Linked DNA regions of Xenopus tropicalis. The protein of the gene in region 1 interacts with the protein of each later gene in a pairwise test. Links are inferred from orthologs where the notes say so. Each region holds a gene or a part of one and is shown on either strand. Other genes may lie near its edges. The genes, in order: inpp5k and mad2l1bp.

Region 1 (7,522 bases):
TTTATCAAATACTGCTGACCTTTGCCTTGCCCTGCAACACCCATTGACTCCTCTTCCATCCACATTAATCCTATCTGAAATCTTACTGGCTGTGGTTTCTTTTTTAGGGTTCACTTGATTACGTGGAATGTGGCTACACAATCCCCACCTCGAGATGTCAGCTCTCTGCTTCAATTCGATATCCCAGGTTCAGATATTGATATGTACATCATTGGGTAAGTACAAACAGGTAGCTTAGAAATACAAACTTTTCATGTTTTAAATGATTCTGATGGCTTCCATGTATGTTAAGTCTGTCTAGCTGGTGCCCCCAAGCCTGCACTGGGGCCCCACAGACTTCTTTGTTTGACAAAATGTTGTGATTATTATTAGACTCTTTGTAACACATGAAATAGCCTGCCCACTATCTTTTAAGAAAAATATAAACTGTACATTTTGAAAATGATAGATCAAATATCAGTCACTTGGTGCGGGTCACAAAGTATGAAATTTAGCAGCAACAGAGCTAGTGTCAGCTAGGTTATAGTTACAGCATGTCCTTTGTGATATTTTTCCATGTGTTCCTGCAGGCATACCCTTTCTTATCCCTTACTATCTGCATACAAATGGAACAGTCCAAACAGAGGACCTAGCGCTGTAGACAACTCATTCTAATAAAAAAGGTGCAATAATTACCTGTTTAAATAGAGCAATAATGGTGAGACAGTTGTCTAAATAGTATGCTCCATCTATTGCATCCATGCATTCTCTCACTCCATCTGCATTTAGGATATATTTTATGTTTTCAACCTTAAATTTATATATCTTGGAATGAATCTCAGATGGAATTAGTCACCTACTTAGACTGTCATCAGTGTGGGTAAAAGAGTATAAAGAGCCCCCATTTTCCAAGTGACCAAAAAAGGGTGTAAAATCAGGGAAATGCATTTTGTATTGGCAGGCCCACTATAAAAGGTGTAAAGTTGTGGAATAATTATAATCCAGGGTATGTAAAATTGAGGTTTCCCTTTATTTGCTTACAAGTGAAGTCTAGGAGACTACGAATGATTCGCGAGTTTTTCGTATCCATTACGAAAGTTGCGTATAGCGTCGCATGTTTAACGCTACGGTTTCGTAAAGGATAGGAAAACTATTGATCCGAAAAATTCGTAAAGAATCCGAAAAAATCGCAAAACATACGAAAAAAATCGCAAAGTACCGATCATTACGAAAAAAACGCAATCGGACTCCATTCGACCCGTTCGTGGGTAAGTAAATCAGCCCCTAGGAAACTAAATGTTCTGTAAAAAAGGTATATCATGTGATGTCATACTCGGCACCAGGGCTTGTATTTCAGTCAGTATTGGCATGATAGGATGATTTTTTTTTTTTAATATTTTTCAGCTTGCAAGAAGTAAATTCAAAAGTTCTGAATTTTCTATCAGATTTAGCATTTGATGATCCATGGAGTATCTATCTTATGGATATTTTAGCTCCCCTCGGCTATGTCAAGGTAGTATATTTATGGTTATGGCATGTTTATGTAAATCACTACATGGATTTGCTGAAAGGTAAAATGTAATGTTTCTTTGGCTTGTTTTTTTTAGCTCTCCTCTATCCGACTGCAGGGCCTCCTTCTCCTGACCTTTGTAAAGCATCAACATATTCCCTTCATACAGGACATTCGTACCAATTACATTCGCACTGGCTTGTTTGGCTACTGGGTAAGCATTCTTGATGGTCAGAACAGAAAGAATTTTCTGGGATTTTACTTGCATTTTGAGATATATATGTGTGTGTGTACTAGACCTGCTAGGATTGTAGTTGAATACCAACTAGAAGTGTGCTGAAGATACCTTCATTTGATATTTTTCCAACTCTTTTTTCATCTAGTGGATAAAATAGTAGAGAGACACACAGAGCAGTAGTCATAACTAGTCGGTGGCATAACTGTAGAGGAAGCAGACCCTGCGGGGGAGCAGTGGGGCTCAGACTACTGGGTCTGCTTTCTCTATAGCAGTGAAGAACTGCCTTCTCCCACCCCTCTCCTGATAACGAGCAGGGAAAGAAGGGGGCGGAAGTGCATGTTTTGTTAGTACTTAAAGGAGACATTTTATATAATATTCATATTCAGTTATACTTATTCATCCTCCCTTTAAAATGTGTAATGATGCAGAAAAATTGACTATGTTTTGAAAGCATTTTACCTCCTGTGACCACAGGAAGTGGTCACAGCACTGATTGACAGGCTGAACTCAGCAGTAGCAGGGGAAGCCCCTCCCAATTGCCTCCCTCTGTCTCTGTTCCCTAACTACATAATTTTGGTGGTGCTGCTGCCAGATCAGTAAGCTAAAACAATATACTTTAAATGCATAAAGCAATAGATCAGAGGGGGTGGGGAACAAGCAGAGAGATATAAATGATCAGAGAGAGGGGGAAACGAGCAGAGAGAGATGAACAATCAGAGGGGGGGGGCAAGCAGAGAAAGGTGAACGATCAGAGGAGGGGGCGAGCAGAGAGAGAAATAAACAATCAGAGGGGGGTAACAAGCACTACTTGGGAATGGCAGCCCCCCCGACTTACAATGTCCACCCACAACGAGCCCTGCACATTGGCTATTGTGGCACCTTATTCAAGTGCCAACCCTCTCCCTTATGTTTGTCCCAAGCAATCAACGGTCTCACCACAGTGGCAGTCCTGTTGTAGCAATAGACCGCTCCTCCTAGTCACCCCTAATCCCCACTATGCTGGATCTCAGCTCTCTCCCCACTTAAAGATGCATTCCGCCTCTTCCTTTCTGTGTGTTTCACCAAAGTGACTCACTAGTTGGTGTACTGGAGATTGTTAGAGATTTTTGGAGATTGTGCAGTGTTTCTTATAATAGTTAAAGTGTCTTTTATGTAATATACGTTGCTGCTATACATTTCTCCCTTAAAAGGGCTTCATTAGGCAAAAATATTGACAGTTAAAAATTTTGCTTGTTTGAATAAAATTTTCAGTGTCAATATTTTATTTTAACATAAAGAAGGCATACATCTTTCATACTCTGCTTTCTCCCATGAAAGGGAAACAAAGGGGGCGTTATAGTCCGTATGTCGGTGTATGGGCACATGGTTTGCTTCATGAACTGCCATTTGCCAGCACACATGGAAAACACCAACCAGAGGCTCGATGATTTTGAAAGGATGCTGGACACTCAGCAATTTGATGACGATAATACTGGAAATATTCTAGACCATGAGTAAGTTCTGGTAAAGAAATGAATAAAGTTAAGTGCAGTGTGTTCTCCAGGTCTAGTAACCTATAGCAACCAATCAACAGGGAACTTTTATTAATCTGCTGTTTGAAATAGAAAGCACTGGGTTAAAAGGGACCTGTCACCATAAGAGATAATTCCAAGTTCTTTTCTATTGTGCTAGTCGGGCAAAATGAACTTTACCTACACTATGTAAAATATATAAACTTTGTTTCTTTCAGTCTTGAAAATCGCAATTACAGCAAGCAGCCTTTAGATTATCTAAAAATCTTGTTTATGCACCAGAATGCAGCACCTGATGTTCATGCACAGGCTACACAAGTATAGACAGTGTAGAGGGAGGGGCAATAAGAGGAGTGTAGTGACATCTAGGAAGTGCTGAATAGAAAATGAAAGTAACTGCCTGCCCTACACAAAGCATAGAGGTGGGCAAGTAATATGTGATTGACAGATTTTTAAATCATTTTATAACAGGTATAAATGTTGTAATACAAAAAAAATTTTGGGTTTTATGTTTAATTTGAAAAGGATTTTAATTATACAGCTTTTTATGTCTGGGTGACAGGTCCCCTTTAATAAACTTGGGGCTGATTTGTTGTAAATTGTGGTTTCTCCAGTAATGCGGTTTTAGTATAGGCTTAGGCATCTTTCTATCCCACTAGCAACTTTTTAAAAAAATGTATTTTTTGTGATAGCGTTTGTGTATTACTAAGCCCTAGATGTATTAACTGTATCAATATGTTATTTCCAACGATGAGAAGTGCTTCTTGGACAGGGGCAAATTCTAATGGCATTTATGTTTGTTTATGTTACTCTAAAGTCTCGTGTTTTGCTTTGGAGACCTAAACTTCCGGATTACAGACTTTGGGATCCACTTTATTAGAGAAGCGATAAACAGTAATAAATACAACCTGCTGTGGGAGAAAGACCAGGTATGCTAACTTACAGACCGCTCGTCTAATTTCACTGGTGTCTAGCATTTAATCATGCTTAATTTTTTGTGTCGACTTCCTAATTCTTTTTGTGTAATAAGCTCAGTTTCAATTAAGAAACTTTGTTTTTATAAATGTGCATTTATTGTCACACAACAGTATAAACAAAAGTATAGTCATACACACAAAATGGGATACTGTGCCTCAGTAGGAAAATCATTTTCAGCTCTCTAAGGCTACTGCCACACCATGTGTATGGCGTATATTTTGGGCAAGCCGAAAAACGCTTGCCGAAAATTTGCGCCATATGCTCCTACCTGTGCCTGCACCCGAATGTATGGAATACGCTTGGGTGCAGGCACATATAGCTGAAATCCACATCAAAACGCAATGCAAAGTGTTGCGTTTTTTATGCATATTTCGGCTACATGTGCCTGCACCTGACTTTATTCCATTCATTCGGGTGCAGGCACAGGTAGGAGCTTATGGCGCATATTTTCGGCAAGCGTTTTTCGGCATGGTGTGGCAGTAGCCTAATCTTCTTAACAATATTATAAATAAGTTGAATTGAACCCAACAAACTTATATTTGAGAAAAATTTAAAAATTGCATCAGTTGTAAATAAAAAAAAAAATTGTGTATGTGAATAGAATTTTCACCAATGTGAAGTTACTTCTCATACTCATGTGTGCTCTCCTTTTAGTAAATTGTTATTGTTGTGGCAAATTTTCAATAAATATGGTCCCATGGAGAAAGACATTTGTTAATTAAAGGAGTTATTCACCTTTGTAGTACATTCACAAATTTAACATTAATAGAGCCATCTTTGCTTTATACACAGTTAACAAAAAATGTGCAGCTGAAGAGATATTCACCTCAGAATCATCCTTCTGCTGATCCGTCAATTCTGCACAGACCCTGTGCTGGAGGGTTGTGGGGAGGGGCAGTGAACCCCTAAACACTACAGCCGCTTGTTTTTCTTCCTGATGTTACGCATAGTACTGGCAGCAGACTTAATTTGTACTGAGTACTGCAAACCTAACATAACATTATATTAGATTTGTGATATGCTGAGTCTGTTTGCCTATGCCTTTGCAACCAATGACTTTTCAATTTATGCAACTGGTTAGAGTGCACAAGTAGCCAGTGAATTGGTCCAGAAGGAAAAAAGTAATGGCAAAGCCTGAATGTGATGTTGTAAGCATATAGGAAGTTCTTAGTGTGCCAGGTTCAAAATAGGCCATTCCCATCCCTTACAAAAACTGATCAGAGAGACAGAAAAGGACTGATTTAACAGGTATAAAAGTAGTTTTTACAGTGGCCTTTACTTGTTTTTACACGCTGAGTGCATTGTTAATAAAATTTGGACATTGAAGGTGAACAACCCCTTTAATTAAGAAATTACTAATGACTCTGTATTTTGCAGCATACACATAAGGTTTGAGTTCAAATTGGAGAGCATTGTATTTGTAGAGATGAGAATTATGTTTATGCTTTTATATTACTGGTCTGAATGTGGAATGCACACTCCTTTAAATGCATCTGTGGTGCTTTATTAGAAAGGTCTATGTAAGTACAGCCATAAGCACTCAAAGAAACGCTGCACTTTATCGAAAGAAACATAGAGTTCTCTGTCAAAAGATTTGTTGTGTCTGGTTTCCTGTGCCAGAGACACGCAGCTCTCTCCTCTCTCCCCTCTCCTGCTCCCCCCTCCCTCAAGAATGCTATGAACTCACTTATGAATGTGGATCTGAGCCAATCAGCAGGAAGCTTCCTCATAGTCTAACTAACTGAGCATGTGCACCGGTCTGGGTCTCAGTGCAGGAGCGAGGCATTATGGGAACTTTCTTTACACAGCTCAGCGTTTTTTCTTCCTGTTTGGCTTCTGATCATCTGAACAGGTGAAATATGGGGAGACTTAAGGGCACTATTGAGAGAACTGAAGGTATGCCTGCAGCTTGAGATTAACTCTTTATGGTTGCAAATTCATTATAGCCTGTTCTTTGAAATTTGGTACCCAGTCATGTAATAACTCCTCCAAAACATCATTTCAATACTCTTTAATATGGTTTGTGCTTTGTTTTTTCTTCCAATTAACAGTTAAATATTGCTAAGAAGAAAGAACCTTTCCTGCAAGGATTTCTGGAAGGACCACTAAAGTTTAAACCCACGTATAAGTTTGACCAGAATTCTGATGTATATGATACCAGGTACAAACACATATCCCAATGTAAGACAGTATGGCCTTCACCCCGTTGTGCTTTATATTCATCTCTTTGCTTTGTTTCCAGATGGAGAAAGTCACTGTTTGGACTTAAGTAAGATTAAAAAATATCCCTTGTCTCAAACTAAAACCAGTAGTAGACTATACTAAATGAGTTATCAGTAGAAATACTCAAATGTAATGCAGTATTCCTACATGATTTCTCTAGAAAACCTAATAACATCATGTCAAACCTGTTGCCTTAGTTTGCTGGCTCAAATATGCACAAACTAAGAGCGAAATACTTCAGCTTGCTAAATATCTCCAGGACTGAAACATTTGGAGTGTTGTCCATATTAACCCACACCTAAATAGATGGTATCCCCATATAATCTTATGATACAGCCGGAAAGCTATCATGATCTGTGCTTTTATTATTTGTTACTACTATACAAATTATTATTTTTCATATTATTTGTGAATCAGCATTTGGATGAACGTATTTAATTTTTTGGGAAGAGGCATTAGTCATTTAGAACTGAGTTAAGAGATAATTTTACTCTGCTTTCTAGTGGATGGGACCTGTTTGTGGTGGTCGCTACAAAAAATAAACTCTAAATATTGTAAAAGCATAGAAGAAAGTTATCAAAATGTTATTGTATGGTTTTATTGGGTATTTGATATAAAATTTAAAATGACACACTCTTTTTGTTTCATGACAGCAGATATTTGACTTGCTATATAATCTTGTCTTCATTAGTTTCCATTTCCATCTATACATTAGCGTTATAAGCCAATCAAAGATGTTTATAAAACTAAAAAAAATAACATTAATGTTTATTTTCAGTTCTATTATGAGGGGGAAGGTGTTAGAGCAGTGTGGTGGTTACTGAATTTTATGAACATTAAAAGATTCTAATATCTCATAATACTATACAGATATAATTTTCAGAGAAAGGAAGATGGGGAGAAGCTGGAAGGGTGAAGACAAATGATCCTTAAATGAAAGAAAAAATGTTAACTAAGGAGGGGTGAACAGCAATAAATAAATATGGGCACAGTACAGTAGGTTGGCACCAAAAACATTTGGAGTCAATTGCAAGCGCAATGTGGGATCTTAAAAAGGAGGTGAACAGTAGGTGAAAATAAAAG
Region 2 (6,350 bases), on another chromosome or scaffold:
GGGAGGCTGTGTGTTTTGGGGGGGCAGGGGCTGCTGGGAGAGGGAGGCTGTTGGTATGGGGGGCAGGGGCTGCTGGGAGAGGGAGGCTGTGTGTGTGTGTGTGGGGCAGGGGCTGCTGGGAGAGGGAGGCTGTGTGAGTGGGGAGGGGCTGCTGGGGGGAGATGGAGGCCTTGTGTGTATGGGGGGCAGGGGCTGCTGGGAGAGGGAGGCTGTGTGTATGAGTGGGCAGGGGCTGCTGGGAGAGGGAGGCTGTGTGTATGAGTGGGGCAGGGCTGCTGGGAGAGAGAGGCTGTGTGTATGAGTGGGGCAGGGGCTGCTGGGAGAGGGAGGCTGTGTGTATGATGGGGCAGGGGCTGCTGGGAGAGGGAGGCTGTGTGAGTGGGGCAGGGGTGCTGGGAGAGGAGGCTGTGTGGGTGGCGCAGGGGCTGCTGGAGAGGGGAGGCTGTGTGTGTGTATGGGGCAGGGGCTGCTGGGAGATGGAGCTGTGTGTGTACTTGTTTATGGGGGGCAGGGGCTGCTGGAGAGGGAGGCTGTGGGTGTGAGTGGCTGGCAGGGGCTGCTGGGAGAGGGAGGCTGTGTGTGTGGAGTGGGGCACGTGGCGCTGCTGGGAGAGGGAGGCTGTGTGTATGGGGGGCAGGGGCTGCTGGGAGAGGGGAGGCTGTGTGTGTGTGTGGGCAGGGGTTGCTGGGAGAGGGAGGCTGGTGTGGGGCAGGGCCTGCTGGAGATGGAGGCTGTGTGTATGGGGAGGCAGGGGCTGCTGGGAGAGGAGGCTGTGTGTATGGGGGGGAGGCTGCTGGGAGAGGGAGGCTGTGTGTGTGAGTGGGGCAGGGGCTGCTGGGAGAGGGAGGCTGTGTGTGTATGGGGGGCAGGGGCTGCTGGGGAGGGGAGGCTGTGTGTGTATGGGGGCAGGGGCTGCTGGGAGAGGGAGGCTGTGTGTGTATGGGGGGCAGGGGCTGCTGGGAGAGGGAGGCTGTGTGCTGTTGTGTATGGGGGGCAGGGGCTGCACTGGGAGAGGGAGGCTGTGTGTGGGGGCAGGGCTGTGGAGAGGGAGCTGTGTGTGTGAGTGGGGCAGGGGCTGCTGCGGAGAGGGAGGCTGCATGTGTGTGAGGGGAGGGGCTGCTGGAGATGGAGGCTGTGTGGTGAGTGGGCAAGGGCTCTGGGAGAGGGAGGCTGTGTGAGTGGGGCAGGCGCTGCTGGCGAGAGGGAGGCGTGTGTGTTGTATGGGGGGCAGGGGTGTGGGGAGAGGGAGGCTGTGTTGTGGGGCAAGGGCGCTGCTGGTGAAGGGAGGCTGTGTGATTTAGTGAAGTGGGGCAGGGGGCTGCTGAGATGGAGGCTGTGGTGTATGGGAGGCAGGGATCTGCTGGGAGAGGGAGGCGTGTGTGTGTATGTATGGGGGGCAGGGGCTGCTGGGAGAGGGCAGGCTGTGTGTGTGTATGGGGGCAGGGGCTGCTGGGAGATTGGAGGCTGGTGTGGTGTGGGGCAGGGGCTGCTGGGAGGATGCGAGGCTGTGTGTTAGGGGGGCAGGGCTGCTGGAGAGGGAGGGCTGTGTGGTATGGGCAGGGCCTGGCTGGGAGAGGGAGGCTTGTGTGTGTGTATGGGGGGCAGGGCTGCTGGGGAGAGGGAGGTTGTGCGCTTGTGTTGTATGGGGCAGGGGCTGCGTGGAGATTGGAGGCTGTTGTGTGTGGGTGAGCAGGGCTGTGGAGATGGAGGTGTGTGTGTGTGTTTGGGGCGGGGCAGGGGCTGCTGGGAGATGGAGGCTGTGTGTGTGGGGGGCAGGGGCTGCTGGGCAGATTGAGGCTGTGTGTGTGGGGGGCAGGGGCTGCTGCGGGAGATGGAGGCTGTGTGTGGGGGCAGGGGCTGTGGGGAGATGGAGGCTGTGTGTGTGTGTGGGGCAGGGTGCTTGCTGCTTGGAGATGGAGGCTGTGTGTGTGGGGGCAGGCGGCTGCTGGGAGATGGAGGCTGCTGTTGTGTGTGGGGGGCCCAGGGCTGCTGGGAGATGGACGGCCTGTGCTGATGTGGGGCAGGGGCTGCTGGAGATGGAGGCTGTGTTGTGGGGAGCAGGGCTGCTGTGGAGATGGAGGGCTGTGTTGTGTGGGGCAGGGGCGCTGGGAGATTGGAGGCTGTGTGTGTGGCGGCCGCAGGGCTGCTGGAGATGGACCGGTCTGTGTGTGTGTGGGGCAGGGGCTGCTGGGGGATGGAGGCTGTGCAACTGTGTGTGGGTGAGGCAGGGGCTGCTGGGAGAGTGGAGGCTGTGTGTGTGGTGGCAGGGCTGCTGGAGATGGAGGCTGTGTGTGTTGTGGGGGCAGGGGCTGCTGGAGATGGAGGCTGTTGTGTGTGTGGGTGGGGCAGGGCTGCTGGGAGATGGAGGCTGTGTGTGTGTGGGGGGCAGGGGGACTGCTGGAGAGAGGAGGCTGTGTGTGGGGGGCAGGGGCTGCTGGGAGATGGAGGCTGTGTGTGTGCGGGCAGGGGCTGCTGGGAGATGGAGGCTGTGTGTGTGTGGGGGGCAGGGGCTGCTGGGAGATGGAGGCTGTGTGTGTGTGGGGGGCAGGGGCTGCTGGGAGATGGATGAGTGATCAGCTTTTTCATTTTTTTAGGTAGAAAAGTGGAAGTGGTGCTTTGGTTGCCATGGGTTACTGCCTGGTCTTATTGAATGAGAGGTGCATCTGTGTGTGAGAAGGGCAGAAAGTACTGACTGGGGTATTACTGGGGGGTTACAGTGACACGAGTACTTATGGTGCCTACTTACCCTTTATCACAGGATGGCGCAATGTGGCCAAGATCCGCCTCCCCGGAGAGCTCAGGGCCGACTCCTTTCCTCCCAGCGGCGCTGCTCTCAGGAAGATCTCACTGTATCGGTGGTATTCCCTGGGCTGGTAACGCGGGAAAGCTGCTGCCGATTCACCTGCGAGCTGCTAAAGCACATTCTGCACCAGCGCCACCAACTGCCCCTCCCGTATGAGCAGCTGCTGGGGTTCAGCGGGAAAGCGCAGGTAATCATTGGCTCAGGCCTTAGTGCATAGGCCGCTGGCTCAGGTTGGGCGGCTGTGTGTGACCTCACTTAGCCATAACTGATTGGTCTTTTATCCAATGGAGCATTTAAAGGGGATATAAACCCAACCATAACGCTGCCCCACGGCGCCCCCTAGTGTTGCTATAGAAGTTGCCAAAAAACGTAATTCTAGATGCAAGGAAATTCCCCAATGAGCCTTCTACTGAGCAACATGTGATTATAAGTGCAAGAGAAGTGACCAATGAGAATGCTGATTCCCTGTGTCCGGCCCCTTGCTGGTACCTTACATATAGAGATAATGATGGCATTTTCCCGTCATTATATGGCACAGGAATCAGACATGGGGATAAAGGGACAGACTTGTTCAGTGCTGGGAAACTGTGCTTATTGCTCCCAACTCCAATTGCAGGAACAGAGAACAGGGAGCCGGATTTACTCACATCAGCTGGGATTCTCATTGGGGGATTTCTTGCATTTTAATGGGGGAAAGTTTTATTGGGCAGTATTGCTTTAAGAATACAACCCTGATGTTGCTGGACTACAGCTCCCAGCATGCCTCACCCTTCATTATATGTTACATTATTCTGGGATTTGTAGTCCGGCAACAGCTGAGTAACGTTGGGTTGAGCCGCGCTGTGCCGCAGGGTTTAGCTTCCCTTTATTGTTCCAATGTAAATATCAGCAGTAAGTAGAGCGACAGATCATTGCGGTCGCTGTATATAGTGGTACTGTGTAACTGGGTCAGCCCCTTGACTGAGCAGAACCAATATGTGTTCAGTCTCTGTGTCTGTCTCTGTGTCTTTGCCCAGCTCAGCAGATAACATGGGCACGCTTGGCACAGTCACTGGCAGCATAAATGAGTGCACTGGGGCCCTCGGTTGTTGAACTGCAAGTAGCAGCACCCGTGTAGCAGCACCCGTGTAGCAGCACCCGTGTAGCAGCACCCGTGTAGCAGCACCCGTGTAGCAGCACCCGTGTAGCAGCACCCGTGTAGCAGCACCCGTGTTAGTTCGGCGGTTCCAGTTGTAGTTTAGCTCTGTGTTTATCTCTCCCCAGGGAAGTGAAGATGCTGCCAAGAAACGCTCTTGGACCGAGGAGCTGGGGAACCGCCAGTGCAAACAGACTCTGTCGGACCTGGAGGAGCTACTGGGTCAGCTTGAAACTCTGTTCGCCATCACCCCTGTACCCCGCGTTCTGCTGCTGCTGGGGGGGAACCCCGTGAATCCCAAAGAGCTGTACGATATCGACATGGCGGGGGTGAGCGTGGGTAACGGGGAGCAGAGCCTGGGTACCCGGCCGTGTCTGCGCCAGCTGTTCCATGCCCTGTTCCTGGCCGACCCATTCAGCGACCTGCGCGCTACGTCTGTACTGAGTCTGGTGGTGATGGTGCAGGGGCAGCGCCAGTGCGGCACAGACTGGTTCAAGCCCAAGCTGAATTATAAGGTGCCCAGCAGGGGCCACACCCTGACTGTCAGACTGGCATGTACGGACTCTCCGGCCCCGGAACCCACCAGCGGGGATTATATCTGGTTCCAGGCTCCCGTTACAGTCAAGGGCTTTCAGAACTGAACGTCTGGGTTTTTATCTTTGGACCAAGTGTTGCGGTTCTGGCAGGAAAATGGTGCTGCTGTAGGCGAAACCTTGTATTCTGTGAGGAACCTGTGTGCGGGTGGGGGTACCCCTGCTGCTGCATAGGGTTAGTAATGGGGCAGATAGGGGACAGGAAGTGCCCCCCGGGGGTAGGTGCAATACAGGGGGCCCCAGAGTATGGGCTGCCATTCTGCCAGGGCACATCCTGTGTCTGTATCACTGCCTGAAACTCAGCCCCCCCCACCCCAAGGAGAGGCACAACTATAACTCCCTGTATGGCAATAGCCTGAAACTTTCCCTCTGTACAACGAAGCTCGAGCCCCCCCACCCCAAGCCTAAGGAGAGGCACAACTATAACTCTCTGTATGGCAATAGGGTGAAACTTTCCTTCTGTACAAGGAAGCTCGAGCCCCCCCACCCCAAGCCTAAGGAGAGGCACAACTATAACTCTCTGTATGGCAATAGGGTGAAACTTTCCCTCTGTACAAGGAAGCTCGAGCCCCCCCACCCCAAGCCTAAGGAGAGGCACAACTATAACTCCCTGTATGGCAATAGCCTGAAACTTTCCCTCTGTACAAGGAAGCTCGAGCCCCCCCACCCCAAGGAGAGGCACAACTATAACTCCCTGTATGGCAATAGGGTGAAACTTTCCCTCTGTACAAGGAAGCTCGAGCCCCCCCACCCCAAGGAGAGGCACAACTATAACTCCCTGTATGGCAATAGGGTGAAACTTTCCCTCTGTACAAGGAAGCTCGAGCCCCCCCACCCCAAGCCTAAGGAGAGGCACAACTATAACTCTCTGTATGGCAATAGCCTGAAACTTTCCCTCTGTACAAGGAAGCTCGAGCCCCCCCACCCCAAGCCTAAGGAGAGGCACAACTATAACTCTCTCTGTATGGCAATAGCCTGAAACTTTCCCTCTGTACAAGGAAGCTCGAGCCCCCCCACCCCAAGCCTAAGGAGAGGCACAACTATAACTCTCTGTATGGCAATAGCCTGAAACTTTCCCTCTGTACAAGGAAGCTCGAGCCCCCCCACCCCAAGCCTAAGGAGAGGCACAACTATAACTCTCTCTGTATGGCAATAGCCTGAAACTTTCCCTCTGTACAAGGAAGCTCGAGCCCCCCCACCCCAAGCCTAAGGAGAGGCACAACTATAACTCTCTGTATGACAATAGCCTGAAACTTTCCCTCTGTACAAGGAAGCTCGAGCCCCCCCACCCCAAGCCTAAGGAGAGGCACAACTATAACTCTCTGTATGACAATAGCCTGAAACTTTATCCTGACTGGGTCGGCCTGACTCCTGAATGCATATGAACCCCAATAATCTCACTGCCCCCCAAAGGGGAGTAGTCGGGAATGGAGTAAATCCTGTGCCTTATACATAGATACCCCCAGGGTGCTGCTGCGGGGGTCACTATCTGACGTGCCGGGGGCAGCGCTGGGGTCACTAAGGCCTGAACCGCACAGGTTGCACTTTCTCTCCTTGGTTTTTAATGTAAAGTTTTTACTTTTTTTTATTATTATGAAACTAAAGAGAATCTATATTTTTATTAAAGTGACAGGTGCTAAACTTGCTAATATTTAGCAGCCCAAGGAATTTCCCAACATTCTGTCTGTCTGTCTGTCTGTCAGAGACGCACAGTTTAACCCTGTGTCTGTGTATAGAGGCTGCACTATTTCATTTTCTCTGTCTGACCTATGGCATTGGCTTCTTCTAGGAAACTACCTCCTCTGCACCCCCATACTTT

The links.
Region 2: the proteins of inpp5k (region 1) and mad2l1bp interact in binary tests that used the Homo sapiens proteins (3 or more experiments, as listed by UniProt). The link is inferred for Xenopus tropicalis from reciprocal best matches to the Homo sapiens genes INPP5K and MAD2L1BP.

What each region holds. Positions count from the first base shown.
Region 1 is NC_030678.2:45,867,681-45,875,202, forward strand, and holds part of inpp5k (inositol polyphosphate 5-phosphatase K), read left to right. Parts: intron 1-107; 5' UTR 108-215; intron 216-569; 5' UTR 570-662; intron 663-1,383; 5' UTR 1,384-1,459; coding exon 1,460-1,492; intron 1,493-1,586; coding exon 1,587-1,703; intron 1,704-3,044; coding exon 3,045-3,220; intron 3,221-4,055; coding exon 4,056-4,167; intron 4,168-6,267; coding exon 6,268-6,377; intron 6,378-7,522. UniProt on the Homo sapiens protein: Inositol 5-phosphatase which acts on inositol 1,4,5-trisphosphate, inositol 1,3,4,5-tetrakisphosphate, phosphatidylinositol 4,5-bisphosphate and phosphatidylinositol 3,4,5-trisphosphate.
Region 2 is NC_030681.2:2,408,400-2,414,749, reverse strand, and holds part of mad2l1bp (MAD2L1-binding protein), read left to right. Parts: intron 1-2,758; 5' UTR 2,759-2,759; coding exon 2,760-2,990; intron 2,991-4,066; coding exon 4,067-4,579; 3' UTR 4,580-6,350. UniProt on the Homo sapiens protein: May function to silence the spindle checkpoint and allow mitosis to proceed through anaphase by binding MAD2L1 after it has become dissociated from the MAD2L1-CDC20 complex.